Danio rerio: one gene and its partners. The protein of the gene in region 1 interacts with the protein of each later gene in a pairwise test. Links are inferred from orthologs where the notes say so. Each region holds a gene or a part of one and is shown in the gene's direction. Other genes may lie near its edges. The genes, in order: exoc7, ift20, kxd1 and prpf19.

Region 1 (4,363 bases):
AATATAATATAATAAAAATATAATTATTAAGTTTAATTATTATATGTATTTTTTATTATATTTAAACGTTTATTATATGCCTGCTAATACATTGGGTCGGTTTCTGAGACCCACCCCGATTCAAAACTGTAATGAAGTTCACGGCCCTTTGGCCGCCGGGAAGGAGGCGGAGAACCGAAGCAGTTTTAAAGTGACAGTGACGGCAGCTCCATCTAAACCAAAACAAACGGACGGCAGATCCTCACGGAGACTGCCGTCAAACTGAAAGCAAAAGTAAAATATGTTTGGGTCCGGTCCTCTCTCGGCTTCCTCTGCCCTTGTTCCTCCTTTTATGATCCAGAGCTCCTTCCGTGGGATCTGAGGCAGGTGCGCACCGCAGGTGGATCCACTTACGCGGTGGCCTCACTCCGTTCCCACGGCGCTCGGCCACGCCCCCTCGCCACAAAAGCCTTCAAGTTCAGGGCTTAAACCCAAAAGACAACGATATGATGATCAGTATTTGAGTTTAGGATTTACGTGGACAGGACCAGCTGAGGAACCACGACCTTTATGTGTGGTTTGTCAAAATATTTTGGCAATGACAGCATGAGACCCGCTAAACTTCCACTGTTTTGACTGGGACGGACAGTTCTTGGAACTGTTCTATTCATATTGAACCATCATCCTAGTTTTAAAAACGTTATATTAAAATGCTTGTTATTACTCTGTAAATAATTGCACTTTCATGCAAATGATGATAAAAGTGAGTTAACAGTCTGACATCTGTCTGTGTCTTTATATATATATATGCGTGCGTGCGTGTTTGGGAGGAGGGGGGCGCCAATGGATAAGTTGTGTCAAAAGGGAGGCCCACTGTCTTAGACTTTGAAAAACCCTGCAGTAATTTAATACACTTGGGGCAAATATGTGGTTGACATTTTTCCTTAGATTACCATACTGTGCTACAGAATACTAAAACAAAAATCATCTGGTATATCATAGCATGTATATGTATGCAAATATCTAATTTGCTTACATATTATTTAAATGTATAATTTTAAATGTAAAAAAATGTGTAATTACACCCAGAAAGTGCTTAAAAAGTGCTTAAATGTGACCATTCGTGAGTGGACCTGCATGTGTGTTGACTCCCAGCGTTGTGTGTTTGCAGGAAGCGCTGGATAATTTAATGCTGGAAGGTGATAATATCGTGTCTGCTGCGCGTCGAGCCATCATGAGACACGATTACTCCGCCGTTCTGACCATCTTCCCCATCTTACGGCATCTCAAACAGACCAAACCAGACTTCGATGCCACACTGCAGGGAACAGCGGCGAGCACCAAAAACAAGCTGCCGGCGCTCATCACCTCTATGGAGACTATTGGAGCGAAAGCACTGGAAGAGTTTGCTGACAGCATTAAGGTTCATTTTACATCTATATTTTTATATTTAATTGTATTTATGTTGTTTGTTAGTAAAATATTTATATTTGTGAATCTTTAATTAATCATTTGTAGTTAAATAAATATTCAAAATGTTTTATTTTGTTTAAATTATTAAAAACAATAATATGTATTATTATTATTAATCATTTAATTCTTCATTATTAATTATTTAAAACAGTTATTTTTACTTATTTTAAAATGTATATTAATATAATACAATAAATAATATAATTTTTGTCTAAGTAGTTTGTTGTTAGTGCTTATATTAATGTTATTATTGTTATTTTGTATTTACTTTCTCCAACATTTTTATTTATTATAAAATTATTACTCATGTATTTTAATAATATTCTGAATAATAATATTTAAAATAATTCTTCATTATTGTGTATTTATAACAATTATTGTTTTTTGTTAATTAATTATTGTTTATTATTTTATTTTACTTATTTAAAAAATGCATATTAATATAATACAACAAATAATATAGTTAATGTATTTTGATAGTCTCTTATTAGTAAATATATTATTATTAATATGTTGTATTTGTTTTCTTTAATAATACTATTTATCATATTATTTTAAATAATGCATTTTAATAATAATTAGAATAATAATATTAAGAATAATACTTAATTATTGTGTATTTAAAACCATTATTATTAATAATTTAATAGTGCATATCAATATAATACAACAAATAATATAATAATTGTATTTAAGTAGTCTGTTATTAGTATTTATATTCATATTAATAATATTTTGTTATATTGTATTTATTTTCTTTAATAATACTATTTATTATGTTGTTGATACATTTAATAATGTTTAAAATAATATTAATAATAATAATTATTATTATTTAATATTTTAATTAAATAAAAATTTAATGCAATAGAATGAATGTAATAATAATTTAAGAATTTATTATTTAATTTTTCTTTTATTATTTAAAAATATATATATTATCTATTCAAGTATATTGTTCATCCATGTGTGTAAAAATATGTATTATAAAAGATTAAAATCAAGATTAAGATCAAAATATAGTCATTTTGTTAAATTAAACAGTTTTGGCCCCTTCCTAAAATGAAATATCACTTGCCCCCTTCTGATCTTCAACCTTTAGTATCAAATTTTAATTTTCATTAATTTGTTCATTTGCTTTTCGGCTTAGTCTCTTTATTATTCAGAGGCCGCCAACTTATCCAGCATATGTTTTATGCAGCGGATGGCCTTCCATCTGCAACCCATCACTGTAAAACACCAATACACTATCATTCACACACATACACTACAGAGAATTTAGGTTACCCAACTCACCTATAGCGCATGTTTCTGGACTGTGGGGAAAACAGGAACACCCTGAGGAAACCCACACCACACACAGGGAGAACATGCAAACTCCACACAGAAATGCCAACTGACCCAGCCGAGGCTCAAACCAGCGACCTTCTTGCTACCCCCCCCCCATCCCCCCCCCATATATTAATTTATAATTTTATATAGGTTTATAAGTCTAATTATATACTTTCATAATGACAATAATTATTCCATATACAGTTGAAGTCAGAATTATAAGCCCCCCTGAATTATTAGCTTCCCTGTTTATTTTTTCCCCAATTTCTGTTTAACAGAGAAATGATTTCTTCAACACATTTCTAATCATAATAATTTTAATAACTCATTTCTAATAATTGAGTTATTTTATCTTTGTCATGATGACAGTAAATAATATTAGACTAGATATTCTTCAAGACACTTCTATACAGCTTAAAGTGACACTTAAAGGCTTAACTAGGGTAATTAGGGTAACTAGGCAGGTTAGAGTAATTAGGCAAGTTATTGTATAACGATGGTTTATTCTGTAGACTACTGGATAAAAAATTTGTTTAAAGGGGCTAATAATTTTGTCCTAAAAATGGTGTTTAAAAAATTAAAAACTGCTTTTATTCTAGCTGAAATAAAACAAATAAGACTTTCTCTAGAAGAAAAAATATTATCAGACATACTGTGAACATTTCCTTGCTCTGTTCAACATCATTTGGGAAATATTTAAAAAAGAAAATAAAATTCAAAGGCGTTCTAATAATTCTGACTTTAACTGTATATTGATTATGTTTTTCTCTCCGACAGAATGATCCGGATAAAGAGTACAACATGCCGAAAGATGGAACTGTGCATGAGCTGACCAGCAATGTAAGATCTCTTCATTGTCCATTTCATGCAGTAAACGTACTCAAAGTGGTGTTTTATTATAAATAAATGTCTTCTCCTAATGTATTTTGTCAGGCAATCCTGTTTCTGCAGCAGCTGCTGGATTTCCAGGAAACAGCAGGAGCGATGCTGGCGTCTCAGGGTAAAACACAGACTACAGAAAAACAGACATTACATACAGTTGAAGTCACAATTATTAGCCCTCCTGTATGTTTTGTCCCCAATTTCTGTTTAACGAAAAGCAGATTTTTAAAACACATTTCTAATCATACTAATTTTAATAACTCATCTCTAATAACTGATTTATTTGATCTTTGCCATGATGACAGTAAATAATATTAGACTAGATATTCTTCAAGACACTTCTATACAGCTTAAAGAGACATTTAAAGGATTCACTGGGTTAATTAGGGTAAAATTAGGGTAATTAGCCAAGTCATTGTATAACAGGGGTTTACTCTCTAAACCAGCCCTGCTGAAAAATCTAGGTTAAACCAGCCTAGTCTGGTTGGCTGGTTTTAGCTGGTCGACCAGGCTGGTTTTAGAGGGGTTTTGGCCACTTCCAGGCTGGTTTCCAGCCATTTCCAGCCTGGTCTTAGCTGGTCAGGCAAACCAGCTTGACCAGCCTAGCCAAGCTGGGAGTCCAGCCAAAACCAGCTATGTCCAGCTTAAACCAAGCTGGTTTTAGCTGGATTTGGCTGGTAATTTTCCAGCCTGACCA
Region 2 (3,717 bases), on another chromosome or scaffold:
TTTATGAAAAACATTTGAACTTCTAAAGCAGCTGTGTCCTTGAAAAAGATTGTATATTGTCATTAGAAACTAAATTAGAAATGACGTTATTTTAATATAGTCAGTCGTGAACTGAGGTGGGCCGGTCTAAGGCTTGAAACTCCAGGGCTAAAAAGCAGTCCCACTCCGGCCCTGCTGGTATATAAATGTTCAGAGCAAAACATCGTTTCAAACTAATTAAATGACATTTTAGCCATGTTGTACATCAGATTAACGCGAAAAAGTTTTTTAGAACATCATTGCAAAAGCAGCAAACTGAATATTCTTAAAATGCATTCTGAAAGTTCAATAACAATAAGTAATTATTACTTATTTTAAAGTGATAAAGCATGTATGTTCATTATCGTTGTGATATATTATTGAATACTGGCACGTCTAGACATTTTACTTTGCAAAATCAACACTGTATTTGTCAGTATTGAATACAATAAAATTATGCATATTTTTCTTTTAACATACTTCTGTTTCTGTATAATTATCAGCCATTATTGAGTCACACAGGCAGGTTACGGTCCTCTGGTCATGGCTAAAGACCCGTTAGCAGAGGCTGGTCTTCATTTTGATGAGCTCAACAAACTGCGAGTACTTGAGCCTGATGTGAGCCAGAAAACAACTGAGCTCAAAGAGGAATGTGAGGAGTTTGTCGACAGTAAGTGTTTTTTATTTTTTAATCTCATTGTGAAGTTTATCTCTCTTAACTGAATTTCTTTGCTTTTTGCAGTCCAGATCAATAACTTCTCCTTTTGCTTTTGAAAACAGAGATCGGACAGTTTCAGAAAATTGTAGGTGGACTTATTGAACTTGTGGATGAACTTGCGAAGGAAGCCGAAACTGAAAAAATGAAGGTACGTTGTTGTTTTAAACTATTAGCAGTGCATATTTGCGTTTTGTATTTATATATGGTTCACCTTCAGGCCATAGGGGCAAGAAATTTGCTGAAATCGGTTGAAAAGCAACGGGAAGCCCAGCAGCAACAGCTTCAGGCTCTGATTGCAGAGAAGAAAATGCAACTGGAAAGGTAAATATGATAATACATCATAATACATCATTATGGTCTGATATTTTTCTTCAGTTCTATTTTTCAGTCATTTTTCAGTTACTGCATGGTAATTTCCAACTTGTTACTTCTAAAAGAGAACAAAAGAAAGAGCATCACCATAAATCTATTACAGCATTTGCATTGGCATGTGCACAGTGCTAGTTAGCAACTAAATACATGTTATCTGCATTACGTAATCAGATTCTGAAAGTTAGGTTGTAACTTGGAATTGAAGTATATAACATTTTAAAATAATGAAACATACTTACATACATACATACATTTTGGACTCCTCCTTTTATCTTTCACTCACAGCAAAGTAACTGTTGGAGGGGCGTGGTTAAGCATATATCACCCAAACTTGTGTAATCAGAGGTGTAGATAGTAAGTGGTCAGAATTTAATTAACGAATATCAAAACACTGAACATCTTTTTCACTGAATTGACTAATTCAGAGCACAGATTAATTTCAGCGTGCTAGCAAAATAAACATGTGGTTACATCAGTTGGTAAGTGAAAAGTTCGTAATCTAAAAGTAGTTGAAATACATAAACCATTACCTAAAATGAACCACAGTTCTTCATGATCATCAGTAATCAGCAATTGACTACAGTTTCAAAGTAATCTGCCCAGAACTGTATGCCGTTCATTTTAGGCCACCAATATTGCTTATGACAAGGGTTTCTGAATGTTGCATACAGCCACTTCAAGTAGTGAACAGCATTGTGTTTATGCTCTGAATTTCTCTTCAAGACTAAAAAGTCTTTTTGTTTTGCAGGTATCGAATAGAATATGAAGCTCTTCAGAAAGTGGAAGCTGAGCAGAGTGAATTCATTGATCAGTTTATACTGCAGAAATAAGAGCACTGTGTTTCCTCTCTCTGCTGGACAGGAAAAATGATGCTATGCATCTTGATTCACATTGACTTCCTAATAAGTGCAAGGTCTCAAACTAGATGAACTGAATTGAGCAGTTATGGCAGACAACAGACGTCTGTTTCAGCCTCAACCTCACAGCATTGAGTGCTTTTGCATGGCCAGTTCCTGGAGGCACATCCTTGTAATCTTTCCAACCATAGATCATAATCTCAGATGAAACTATTTATATACAAATGTTATTTATACTATTTATATGAAAATTAGTTTGTAAATCTGATCTTTTTTTTTACAATAGGGAAATACAGTATTTGCATGTTACTGTAAATAATTCCATCATGTGACATCTTCAGGTAAATCTATTGTTTTCTGTATGATTACAACTCCTGTTTGAGACTTGAACCCATGTCGTTTTTATTATATCATATCCTCATGATATTTTTATTGGGACCAAACCAAAATAATTTCAGTAGAAGTTATGGAAAAGTAAGTTCATTTATTACTTGTTTACATTTACCATGTGTAATCTCAACATTGGGCAAAGCTCATAAAGATCTGAAGAACATTTGAATAAAAATATATTTTGCATTTACATCTGCTGTCATCGGTAAACAATTTCTAGAGCTTAAAAAATGGTCACATATAATTGAGAAATTTGGCACATATTAAATCACGTTTATCAAATAATGACTACTAACAACCCTGTTGGGATTTGATCAATACATACTGTGCTCTAATTTAGGGTGTAGAAAGATGAACTGGCATTTATCTTTGTTTCTTGGCCTTTGAGGGAGCATTTCCTTTCAGAGATGGTGAGTTGTAAGTTGCGCTGAAGAGCATGGTGAGCAGTATCATAATGGGAATGATGAGGTACGGAGCATAAATGGACACCAGGGTCAGACGTTCATTCAAAGTTTGGGGTCCCGGATGTGGACTCAAAGGAAACTTGTGGAAAAGTATGTGGCTTAAAATTGGGACCAGAGTGGTGGCCACATGAACAGAATAAATTATGGCTGGAGTTCTGATCCATTTGCAGCCACCTATTAAACAGACGAGCACAATAATTAGCTGGAATAATATGACCTTAGCTAGTAGAAGACAATGGATTACTTTCACTGCATCTAAACCAATATCATGTTTATTAGAACCCATCCCAATACCAACTTAATTATAGACAGTAGCATCTCCTCTTTATCTTTAGGTCACTTCCCAATCAACAGCTAGATCTTAGTGAATTAAAAATGCAAAAAGAAAAAAAAGGGAAACATATAGACAAATGATATTAATAAAAGTTTTCACTGCACTATTAAAGTTATAAATGACCTTGAATAAATGACATGTTCATTAAATATAATTAACTTGTTTGCTTAAGTTTAGTTTCCATTTGTCAAAACATTTTATTTTTTCTATGCCATAATATTTTAACCAAGTTGTTAATGGTTAATCTTTTTTTTTAGTGCCATTTTATTTTTTTTCATGTTGCTTATGCAGTCACCAAGTTTTACCTGTTAACTAAGGCAGGAAAATGTCAATTTCAAGAGCTACAAAACGACTTAAATTGACTCAGTCTTCTAAGACTGGGTGCACTTGATTCTTTCAATTTAAAAAATCTAAAATTATCTGTTGTTGGCCCTCACGATGGCTTCTGAATTCATGGAAAAATATAGTCAAGTTAAAACTATTTTAATTTTATACAAAGGACAGTAGTGCCTTTATTATAAGCCATTGAAGTGCAGCTTTTCAGTCAGTAAAGGTCAGGAAATG
Region 3 (4,907 bases), on another chromosome or scaffold:
CTGGCTAAAAATAAAAGGTTAAATTGTGTATGCAGTTAAAGTCAGAATTATTAGCCCCCCTTTGATTTTTTTTTTCTTTTTAAATATTTCCCAAATGATGTTTAACAGAACAAGGCCATTTTTTCAGTATGTCTGATAATATTTTTTCTTCTGGAGAAAGTCTTATTTGCTTTATTTCTGCTAGATTAAAAGTAGTTATTAATTTTTTACAAACCATTTTAAGGTCAAAATGATTAGCCCTTTTAAACTTTGTATTTTTGATAGTCTACAGAACAAACCATCATTATACAATAACTTGCCTAATTATCCTAACCTACTTAACATTATTAACATAGTTAAGCCTTTAAATGTCACTGTAAGCTGCATAGAAGTGTATTAAAAAATATCTAGTGAAATATTATTTACTGTCATCATGGCAAAGATAAAATAAATCAGTTATTAGAAATGAGTTATTAAAATTATTATGTTTAGAAATGTGTTGAACAAATCTTCTCTCTGTTAAACAGAAATTGAGGGGAAAAAATAAACAGGGGGGTCTAATAAATCAAGGGGGCTAATAATTCTGACTTCAACTGTACATTATGTATAATGGTAGTGTTCAGTGACAAGATCCATTTAGAAATAATTCTGTAATGCCAAACATTATACACTTCAGAAATCAATGCCATACAGCTTTATTAACTTATTTAAATAAGTTAAAGTAACAAAATATTGTTGACTTTTGTCATATCATTTTTACATTGTGTATAATAAACTGAAATCGAATAATATAATAAGCAATCTTCAAACAATATATACTATTAATACAAATAAGTTAATTATGCAAATGTATATTTTTACATAATTAAAATGTATTAAAATCAATTAATAAAAAAGTATTTCTTAAAAATGTAATAATACAGTTTACATATAACGCCATTTATATTAATAGGTTTAGAAAATGCTTAAATAAACTGAATAAATTACTTCCACTATTCATAATAACATTTATATTTATAAATAGAAACTAATATTTACCGAAATATAAAATACAGGCCTAATATATATATATATATATATATATATATATATATATATATATATATATATATATATATATATATATATATATATATATATATATATATATATTCATAATATCCATCTCATGTGGTGCATATAGTACTGAAGTCATTTTGGGATACTGTATTCTTATTTTATATTGTATGTTAAAACAAATTAAAACAATATTTTAAAGCCCTTTTTATTTATTTATTTTTTTATTGCAATTTTAGAACACAGAACATACAAAGGGAATAAAAACATTATGTTTACATAAAAATAAATACAACATAAAACAAAAATAAAAAAATACAATTATTCAAAGACAGCATTTAAGGCTTTAAGATAATAATAGTATAATAATAACAGTTCTTTTTGTTTGGTATTTTTTGTTTCTTTTATTGTCCTTGTCCTATTTCTATTTTTAAGTGAGTAAAATTAGGTTTTTCCACTGCACATGTACATTTATGAATAAAAATATTTCCATATATAATTAGCAAATTACAAAACACCACATTATAAAGTAGACAGTATTCTCATATAAAGAATAAATAATCTTTTTCTTTGAATTGAAAAGCAATATTCATAACGTTTACCAAAAAAAAAAAAAAGATAACACCAAAACAACTGTGTATAAATACAACCATAACATAAATGAGCAATACTCTCTTCTTTATCATCACAGAAAGCGCATTATAAATCTACATTTCATTTTAAAGCCCTTTTAAACCCCTCTTTCTGTCTTTCTGAACATCCAATCAACGCTAAGAAAACCTTCTAGATGCCGCCTCCCAAATGCGTCACGATCTCTCAGCGATCATATGACAACACCACAACAAAAATGTCTGCCTGCATCTCAGTCCAGTAAATGTTTGATCGTTTTAGGAATACAATAAAAGTCTGCATACATGCAAAACCTCCTGCATCAGACTGCGACGCTTTAGAAACAAACAAAGTCAGACGAAAACTAGTCAGAAAGCGAATATTTTAGCACGTAAGCGATTACACTCGTCTGTATCGGTTTATTATTAGCATAACTCAATAAATCTCGTGCTTTGCTCTCGAAAAAGTTCAAATGGAGCCCACAGCTTCGGGAATATTCTGTAACAGGATGCTCAGTATGGTGAACTCTGAGGATGTGAACGCCATCATTCAAGCCCAGAGACATATGTGAGTATCCCTGTCTAGTGAAATTGAGGTAAAATTCGGATTATATTCACACATCCAGACTTTCTCCTTAACAGTATAACTTCAGAAAAGTGTCGTTTTCAAATTCTTAACAGTGGAATCATATTAGCAGCCAATGACTATCAAAATGCAACATTGTTCACAGTCAAATAAATAGTGCTAATGTTGTTTTCAAGTCACACCAAAGTCCCTGTAAGGCATATTGTATTCTATGTATTCTATAGTCTTTGTGATTTCATATAATTCATTTTCTTGTCGGCTTAGTCCCTTTATTAATCCGGGGTCACCATAGCGGAATGAACCGCCAACTTATCCAGCAAGTTTTTACGCAGCGGATGCCCTTCCAGCCACAACCCATCTTTGGGAAACATCCACACACACATTTACACACTCGTACACTACGGACAATTTAGCCTACCCTATTCACCTGTACCGCATGTCTTTGGACTGTGGGGGAAACCGGAGCATCCGGAGGAAACCCACACGAAGGCAGGGAGAACATACAAACTCCACACAGAAATGCCAACTGAGCCGAGGTTCGAACCAGCGACCCAGAGACCTTCTTGCTGTGAGGCAACAGCACTACCTATTGCACCACTGCCTCGCCCTGATTTCGATTATTCAAATTACCACGGTAAACATAAGGAAATTGAGGTAAAGTTGGTTTTATATTTGAACATTCTTTCAGTGATCACTTGTGATATGGTCCCTATATTGTTTACCATGGTACTGGTAAAACATTGGGTCTGAAATCCTGTGTAAGAATGACTTCAAAACAACATAACCACTATTTATTTGACTATAAACAACCTAGTCTGATGCTCATTGACTGCTAATATGTTTCCACTATTTAGTATTCGCAAAGAGTAAGTTTCTGAAATTATATTATTAAAGAGAAAGTCTGAATGTGTGAATATAAAACCAACTTCACCTCAAAATATAGGAAGAATGTCACAAGTTGAATTTAAAACCAACTTTAACGTACCTAAATTCTAGTAAAGTACCTAAAAAGGAAGCTGTTTAAAACCTGTTTTGATGCATGTCCTACAGGCTGGACCGCTTTGAGAAAACCAATGAGATGCTGATCAACTTCAACGGCTTGTCCAATGTGCGCTTACAGCAGATGAATGAACACTTTCTGATGCACACCAGGACTTTGATAGAGATGAAGAAAGACTTGGACAGCATCTTCAGAAGAATAAGGTGTTATGTTTGCAAATTAAGATTGAATTGAGTGATGTTTAGCAATGAGTGTGTTACCATATTTTACTATTTTGTCATTTAAAATGCCATTAAAGTAACTTTTCACAAATTAAACTCAACAAATTAGTTGAGTAATATTACATTGTAAGTCAGTACATTATTTAAGTGTAAATAGAAAATGTACTCTAGTTTTCACCTGTGTATAGGGGAGAGCGGGGCACAAAGTAACACTTTTTGGTTTTGGCCAAATAATGAACAAAGTAATGGAGTTAGACAAACCATCTGAATTCATACGGTCAAGGAAAACCTGGAAAAGTCGTAGTATTTTGACATGCCTTTTTCAAGGCTTGGGAAAGTTTGGGAAAAAGAGAAAAACCCACAAAGTTTTGGAAAAATCATGGAAAACAGAAATCTTTATACTTGAATATAGGTTATTTACTGCTTTTCTGTCCTTTGCCAGTCACATTCTCACAATATTAGTGTGATGTAAGCATTATCTGAATCAATTTTACATAGATGTAAATATAAATTAAAACTTAATAGGTTGTTGCTTGTTTTACGATATGCTGTAATCAATTTGAACCTGCATTGTTTTTCTTTTACCATGCATATGTAGACATTGCATGAAACATTAAGGTCATAAAAATTTACTTAAAAGTTTTGGAAAAATCATGCAAAAGTCATGGAATTTTAGTAGTAAAAATGTGTCTGAACCCTGAACCATTTATTTTTACCAACAACACACAAGCCTCTCCTACCAATGAGCAATGGTTGTATGATTTTCAGACCTATGGTTTCTGTGTATTATTGCCAAAAGTGCAGGGAGTAAAAATGTTACTATTTACCCCACATGTGGGGCAAGTTGTAACAGACAGAGGGTTAGTTGTAACACATGCTTATAAAGTCAGCTCTCACACAATTTATTTAAAATCAGTTTATTTAAATAGTAGCTATATTTCCTCAGTACATTGCTCAGTTTATTTTTATTCAACATAGCACAATATGTTTATTTATTTATCTGTTGGATAAAGACATTTGGATTTATTTCATTATTGTACATTATTATACAATGCACTTATTTGCAGTATTAGCTATAAAATAAATTTTTTTCTATTAAAAAATATTTTCTTTTATAAAACATTTTGTATAAAAAGTTCTGAACATTACACTCAAAAAAAAAAAAATATATATATATTATCAGTCACAGTTTTTTTTTTTACATCTTTCAAAATGGTTCCATCTTTCAGCCTAGAAGAAGGTAATCACAGCAATATAAGATTTTACTTGCATACTTACACAGATTTTTTTTTTAAATAAAAAATACCAACTAAAAAAAAAAAAAAAAAACTTTTATGCTGCAAAAACGGTTTCTCCTGTATTTCTCATTAAAATTTCCCTGAAAGTTTTCAATAATTGGCAGGAAGACATTTGCCGACCGACACTGTGGTGAAAACTTCGGAAGCATGGCATGGTTA
Region 4 (4,363 bases), on another chromosome or scaffold:
GTTTAAAATGTTCTTTACTGGATATGCAAGAGATATGTTATTTACAAGAGATGTAGCTTAATTTTTATTTTTATTATGAAAAAAAATAATAATAATAATTTTGTTTCCAAAAGTGCAAGTTATTTATTTTCACTTTTTTATAAGAAAAAGGTGACTGTTGATTTTAGGCAATGTGTGTTTTAATTTCAGTTGTTCAACGTTGATGTTCAATAAAAATAATCAGAGATAGTAGATAGTGAGAGTTTACTTCAATTCTTTTAAAATCAAGTTATGCACCCTTTGTTCAGAAATCTCTCACTTGTAAAATGTGAGCATATTTACTATAAAAAACTTGTCAGTGAATGTTTTTGGGGACCAAAAATTTTTATAAATAAAATAATTGTTCATTAATCGCAACCAAGTTAAAATGTTGAATCAAATCGAGATATTGATTTTAGGCCTAATTGCCTTTTGGGATGATGTAAAAATGACACATTCAGATGTAACATCAGGATTTGATACAATCATGTACCTTATCTGAAGATATTGTTTATATAAATGTTAAATTGATCGAGTGTATATACATTTTAGTCAAAAGTTTAACATGAATTTGATCTTTTGGCGTGCGCACTACAAATGCAAAGAATCTCCCTTGCACTTTTAGATACTTATATGATATATCTTCGTGCATCAAAATCTACAAGCAGTAAAAATGCCTACCTGTTCCCAAAACAAACCATCTGGCAGAGTCTGTACCATAGACTGGAGAAACAAAATAATCCTGTACCACTTCACTGGGATTTTAGAATGATACGTCCAGTTATTTATGAAATAATTCAACAAAGCCTGCTTATTCTGTGTGCAATATGTGCAATTATACATGCATCATTCAACGTATGAAAAACTTTTCCATTTAATATTTGGTGATTGTTATAAAAGAATGATTATATTTTAGATTAACACAGTTTTTTTCTCTCTCTCTCTCTTTCAGGACGCCGTGATGCTGCACAGTTTTACACTGAGGCAGCAGTTGCAGACAACACGACAAGAGCTTTCTCATGCTCTCTACCAGCATGATGCAGCCTGCAGAGTCATTGCTCGTCTTACAAAAGAGGTCACTGCTGCCAGAGAAGGTAAGAGTGGCATGATTGCTTTCAGGATGAGATGTTGACTGGAATTGTGCCATCACTGACACATTGTTCTGCTTGCAGCTTTGGCTACCCTCAAACCCCAGGCTGGACTGGTCGCTCCACAGGCCGCTCCTGCTTCTCAGCCCGCTGCTGTGGTCAGTAATTTCTTTAGATATTCATAATGTAGCGTGAAAAAAAAAATCTTAATTCACTCATGAACCATAGGTACTTTGAGGTTTTTCAAATAGAAATGGCCACTATTTTTAATGTTATTAGACAGCAATTATAATAATTTTTAAGGTAAAATTTTGTAGCAAGAGTAAACCTTAAAAAACGGTTTTAGATTGTTATTTTTTTGCTTTTTTATTATTTTAGAAATGTGATATTTATAAAGTGTTTAAATGTTTTTGGTAACTGCCTTACCATTTTTATTGAATTTCATTAAATGTAAAAAAGAGGTTGACGATTTTAGATTTTTGAAAGTCGACTTTTATATTATCAAAGTTGAGTCAACTAGTAGCTTTTAGCGTCATCAAAAAAAAACATAAGATGCAAATGTTTTGCAACATGCCACAATTTGCGATTTATTTGCAGGACAGAATATGTTTCCATGCTGTTGGAACGCTCATAACGCGTTGCAAGAACAATGCAACATTACACCAATGACACCATTTTAGTGCAAAACAAATACACTGTCGACTCTTTCGTTATTAATGTAACATTAGCACCCGGACTAAATTTTACTGCGAAATAAATGCAGTTAACACATTGATCACTGCACATTCTAGTAAGAATGTAACAATAACAGATATTTTTGTGCAGAAATAATGCAGCACACAGATTCATGTGACGTTATACATAACGCAGAAAGGACAGGCTATAACATTAAGCCATATTACACTGTCGGAGTCCTAATCAGACTCATATTTTATAAATATTACATTATATTTAATGTATTTTATATTTTATCGCTATGATCATGCGCACTAGAAAGCTGCTCAAAATCCTGCTTAAGTCAGGCGTTTTTTGTGGTCACTGGCTCATTTTAGTTACAGAAGTCTGCTTGCTGTACATCTTCACCAGGTTCACCAATGTTGATGATGTTTACACCTACACAAGCTGTGAAGTTTATCACACCTTTGCGGCTGTGCACTTCACATTTTTTCACAGGTTTGTAGAGGGCAGCAGACAATCACATTACTTTTCAGGGTTGCTTAAACCTAACTGGCACCGATTTAAAGTTCAATACAAGTTCACGTGAATCTTTGACGCTGACATAAAAAATACAGTTAAAAAAATGTATTTTAAATAATCGGAGGGCAGTTTCATTCAGTGACAACATCCGTGCACTCGTGGTTCCACCTTAGTGTGTAAAGCTGCATGTAGTTCTGGTCAAACAACGTGATCTGCACAGTGAGACTAGTCGAAGTTTATCAAAAAGCATCACGGCAGAGCATTAAAGTCAACTAGTTGATTAGTCGACTAGTCAGTGCAACCTCTAATATATATATTAAAAAAAAATTTCTCAAGATTCTGAAAAAAAAATACTTTTAGATTATAATCTCTTTCAAAATGAAAGATGCAGGAAAAAAAAGTTATTTCATATAATGCAGGAATTTATTTCAAAAGTTGAGAATTAATTCTGAGATGAATTGTGAATCCGATATTTATTTATTTTATGGTTTTATGTTCAATTTTAAATGTAAAATAATTCAACCCCCTCATAGCCATAGTACAATGGAGTTAAATATATAATTTTCTGTTTTCATAGGGTGCTGGTGGTGAGGCCATGGAGGTCAGTGAACAGGTTGGAATGACTCCGGAGATCATACAGAAGGTTTGTGAATCCACAAGTATATTCAGCAGTGTTCTCATTGCTCACACATGTACAAAGGGATTCAAAGACTTTTTCTTACATTACAGCTTCAAGACAAGGCCACTGTTCTGACCACCGAGAGAAAGAAGGTAAACGTTTAATTAGCAGTTTGTGGTCACTGTTATTTGATGTGCTTTTCAATGTCTGTAACCTTTTACGTGTTTGTTTTTCAGAGAGGAAAGACCGTGCCAGAAGAGCTGGTCAGAGCAGAAGATCTCAGCAAGTATCGCCAAGTGGGATCCCATGCTGTGAGTATCCAATTTTACACAGTGTGTATGCGTGCATATTTTTGTTTAACATATGTTGTGTAGGCCTGATGTCCACAAAGGTTATATAAGCTGGATGTTTTTTTTCTATATCATAAGAAAACCGCTTCTAAAAAGTGCTACATTTGGTACATTTATTGTTAAAAAAGGTTTAGTTTTTTTCAGAGGTCAATATATTAGGCTCATTAAAAAAATCCATTATGTTTATTTAAGCTGATTTTATACCATTATGGTAGGATTAGTGCTCAAAAAATAAACTATGAAATCCAGCCTGAAATAGGATCAAAATCCAATTTTTTTTTTAAAACTCAAGAAATGATGAGATTGTATGCAGAAGATGACGTTCCGGACACAAAAAAACTCGCACTGAACACTTGCTAAAGGAGAAAAACCCCTAAAATGTCTATATTGCAACAGAAACCAAGCTGTTAAAAATATTCTTGTGCAATGCCCTATTTTTATTGTTATCCGACAACAATTATTGTCTGGAGGGACTTGAAATGTAGTATTTAATTTTAAAATTGTTAAATTTTCATCAAAACTAAATCCTTAAAAAAAAGTTTTAGATTTTTATCTTATGTATTCTCATTATTACTTTGTATTTTTATCTTCTGTATTTATTGCTTTCGATGACTTTTAATTGTTAGAATATTTTTATAATTATAGAAAAGTATTATTTTTTAAAATGTGGTAAACCTGATCTTTTTTTGCCATGATATAGCCATAAAAGCTGATATGGCAATAAATTCAAAATTCTCTCTTTCCATATGTCCTGGTAAAAAAAAATTGCCAAGTAAGCATAAAATTGTTCTAGAAATCCTGTTTTGATCAAATTCTGTGACAGCATCTTTGAAGGCACAGCTATTGGGAAGAAAATGACGTCTGAATCACATTGTGTAAATATCGACTTATATCTTAATCTTAATTGTAAAATCTTAATAAAACTAATACACACTTTTATAGTTATTACCATGTCATATTGTTAGCTGAGAAGCATGCTAACTTTAAACTCTGTTGAATTTAAACTTTTAAAAAAAAATTATTCTCTGTTTAGAAATTAAGATAAAAATCAACAATTTCCACCTCAAAGTTTGACAAATGGAGTTTCTGTC

Evidence for each region.
Region 2: the proteins of exoc7 (region 1) and ift20 interact in binary tests that used the Homo sapiens proteins (3 or more experiments, as listed by UniProt). The two-hybrid records come from large-scale screens. The link is inferred for Danio rerio from reciprocal best matches to the Homo sapiens genes EXOC7 and IFT20.
Region 3: the proteins of exoc7 (region 1) and kxd1 interact in binary tests that used the Homo sapiens proteins (3 or more experiments, as listed by UniProt). The two-hybrid records come from large-scale screens. The link is inferred for Danio rerio from reciprocal best matches to the Homo sapiens genes EXOC7 and KXD1.
Region 4: the proteins of exoc7 (region 1) and prpf19 interact in a two-hybrid assay, tested with the Homo sapiens proteins (2 studies listed by BioGRID and IntAct, with this or other methods). The link is inferred for Danio rerio from reciprocal best matches to the Homo sapiens genes EXOC7 and PRPF19.

Annotation. Positions count from the first base shown.
Region 1 is NC_133187.1:48,882,854-48,887,216, forward strand, and holds part of exoc7 (exocyst complex component 7), read left to right. Parts: intron 1-1,150; coding exon 1,151-1,402; intron 1,403-3,561; coding exon 3,562-3,624; intron 3,625-3,717; coding exon 3,718-3,784; intron 3,785-4,363. UniProt on the Homo sapiens protein: Component of the exocyst complex involved in the docking of exocytic vesicles with fusion sites on the plasma membrane.
Region 2 is NC_133190.1:26,254,679-26,258,395, forward strand, and holds the end of ift20 (intraflagellar transport protein 20 homolog), read left to right. Parts: intron 1-517; exon of another isoform or gene 518-521; 5' UTR 522-561; coding exon 562-688; intron 689-798; coding exon 799-884; intron 885-953; coding exon 954-1,057; intron 1,058-1,856; coding exon 1,857-1,938; 3' UTR 1,939-2,545; downstream 2,546-3,717. Other genes in the region: tmem97 (sigma intracellular receptor 2), read right to left, coding at 2,719-2,993. UniProt on the Homo sapiens protein: Part of intraflagellar transport (IFT) particles involved in ciliary process assembly. May play a role in the trafficking of ciliary membrane proteins from the Golgi complex to the cilium.
Region 3 is NC_133200.1:21,951,337-21,956,243, forward strand, and holds the start of kxd1 (kxDL motif-containing protein 1), read left to right. Parts: upstream 1-1,860; 5' UTR 1,861-2,116; coding exon of another isoform or gene 2,117-2,211; 5' UTR 2,212-2,863; intron 2,864-3,279; coding exon of another isoform or gene 3,280-3,307; coding exon 3,308-3,432; intron 3,433-4,907.
Region 4 is NC_133189.1:18,664,884-18,669,246, forward strand, and holds part of prpf19 (pre-mRNA-processing factor 19), read left to right. Parts: intron 1-970; coding exon 971-1,112; intron 1,113-1,190; coding exon 1,191-1,264; intron 1,265-2,880; coding exon 2,881-2,946; intron 2,947-3,032; coding exon 3,033-3,074; intron 3,075-3,158; coding exon 3,159-3,233; intron 3,234-4,363. UniProt on the Homo sapiens protein: Ubiquitin-protein ligase which is a core component of several complexes mainly involved pre-mRNA splicing and DNA repair. Required for pre-mRNA splicing as component of the spliceosome.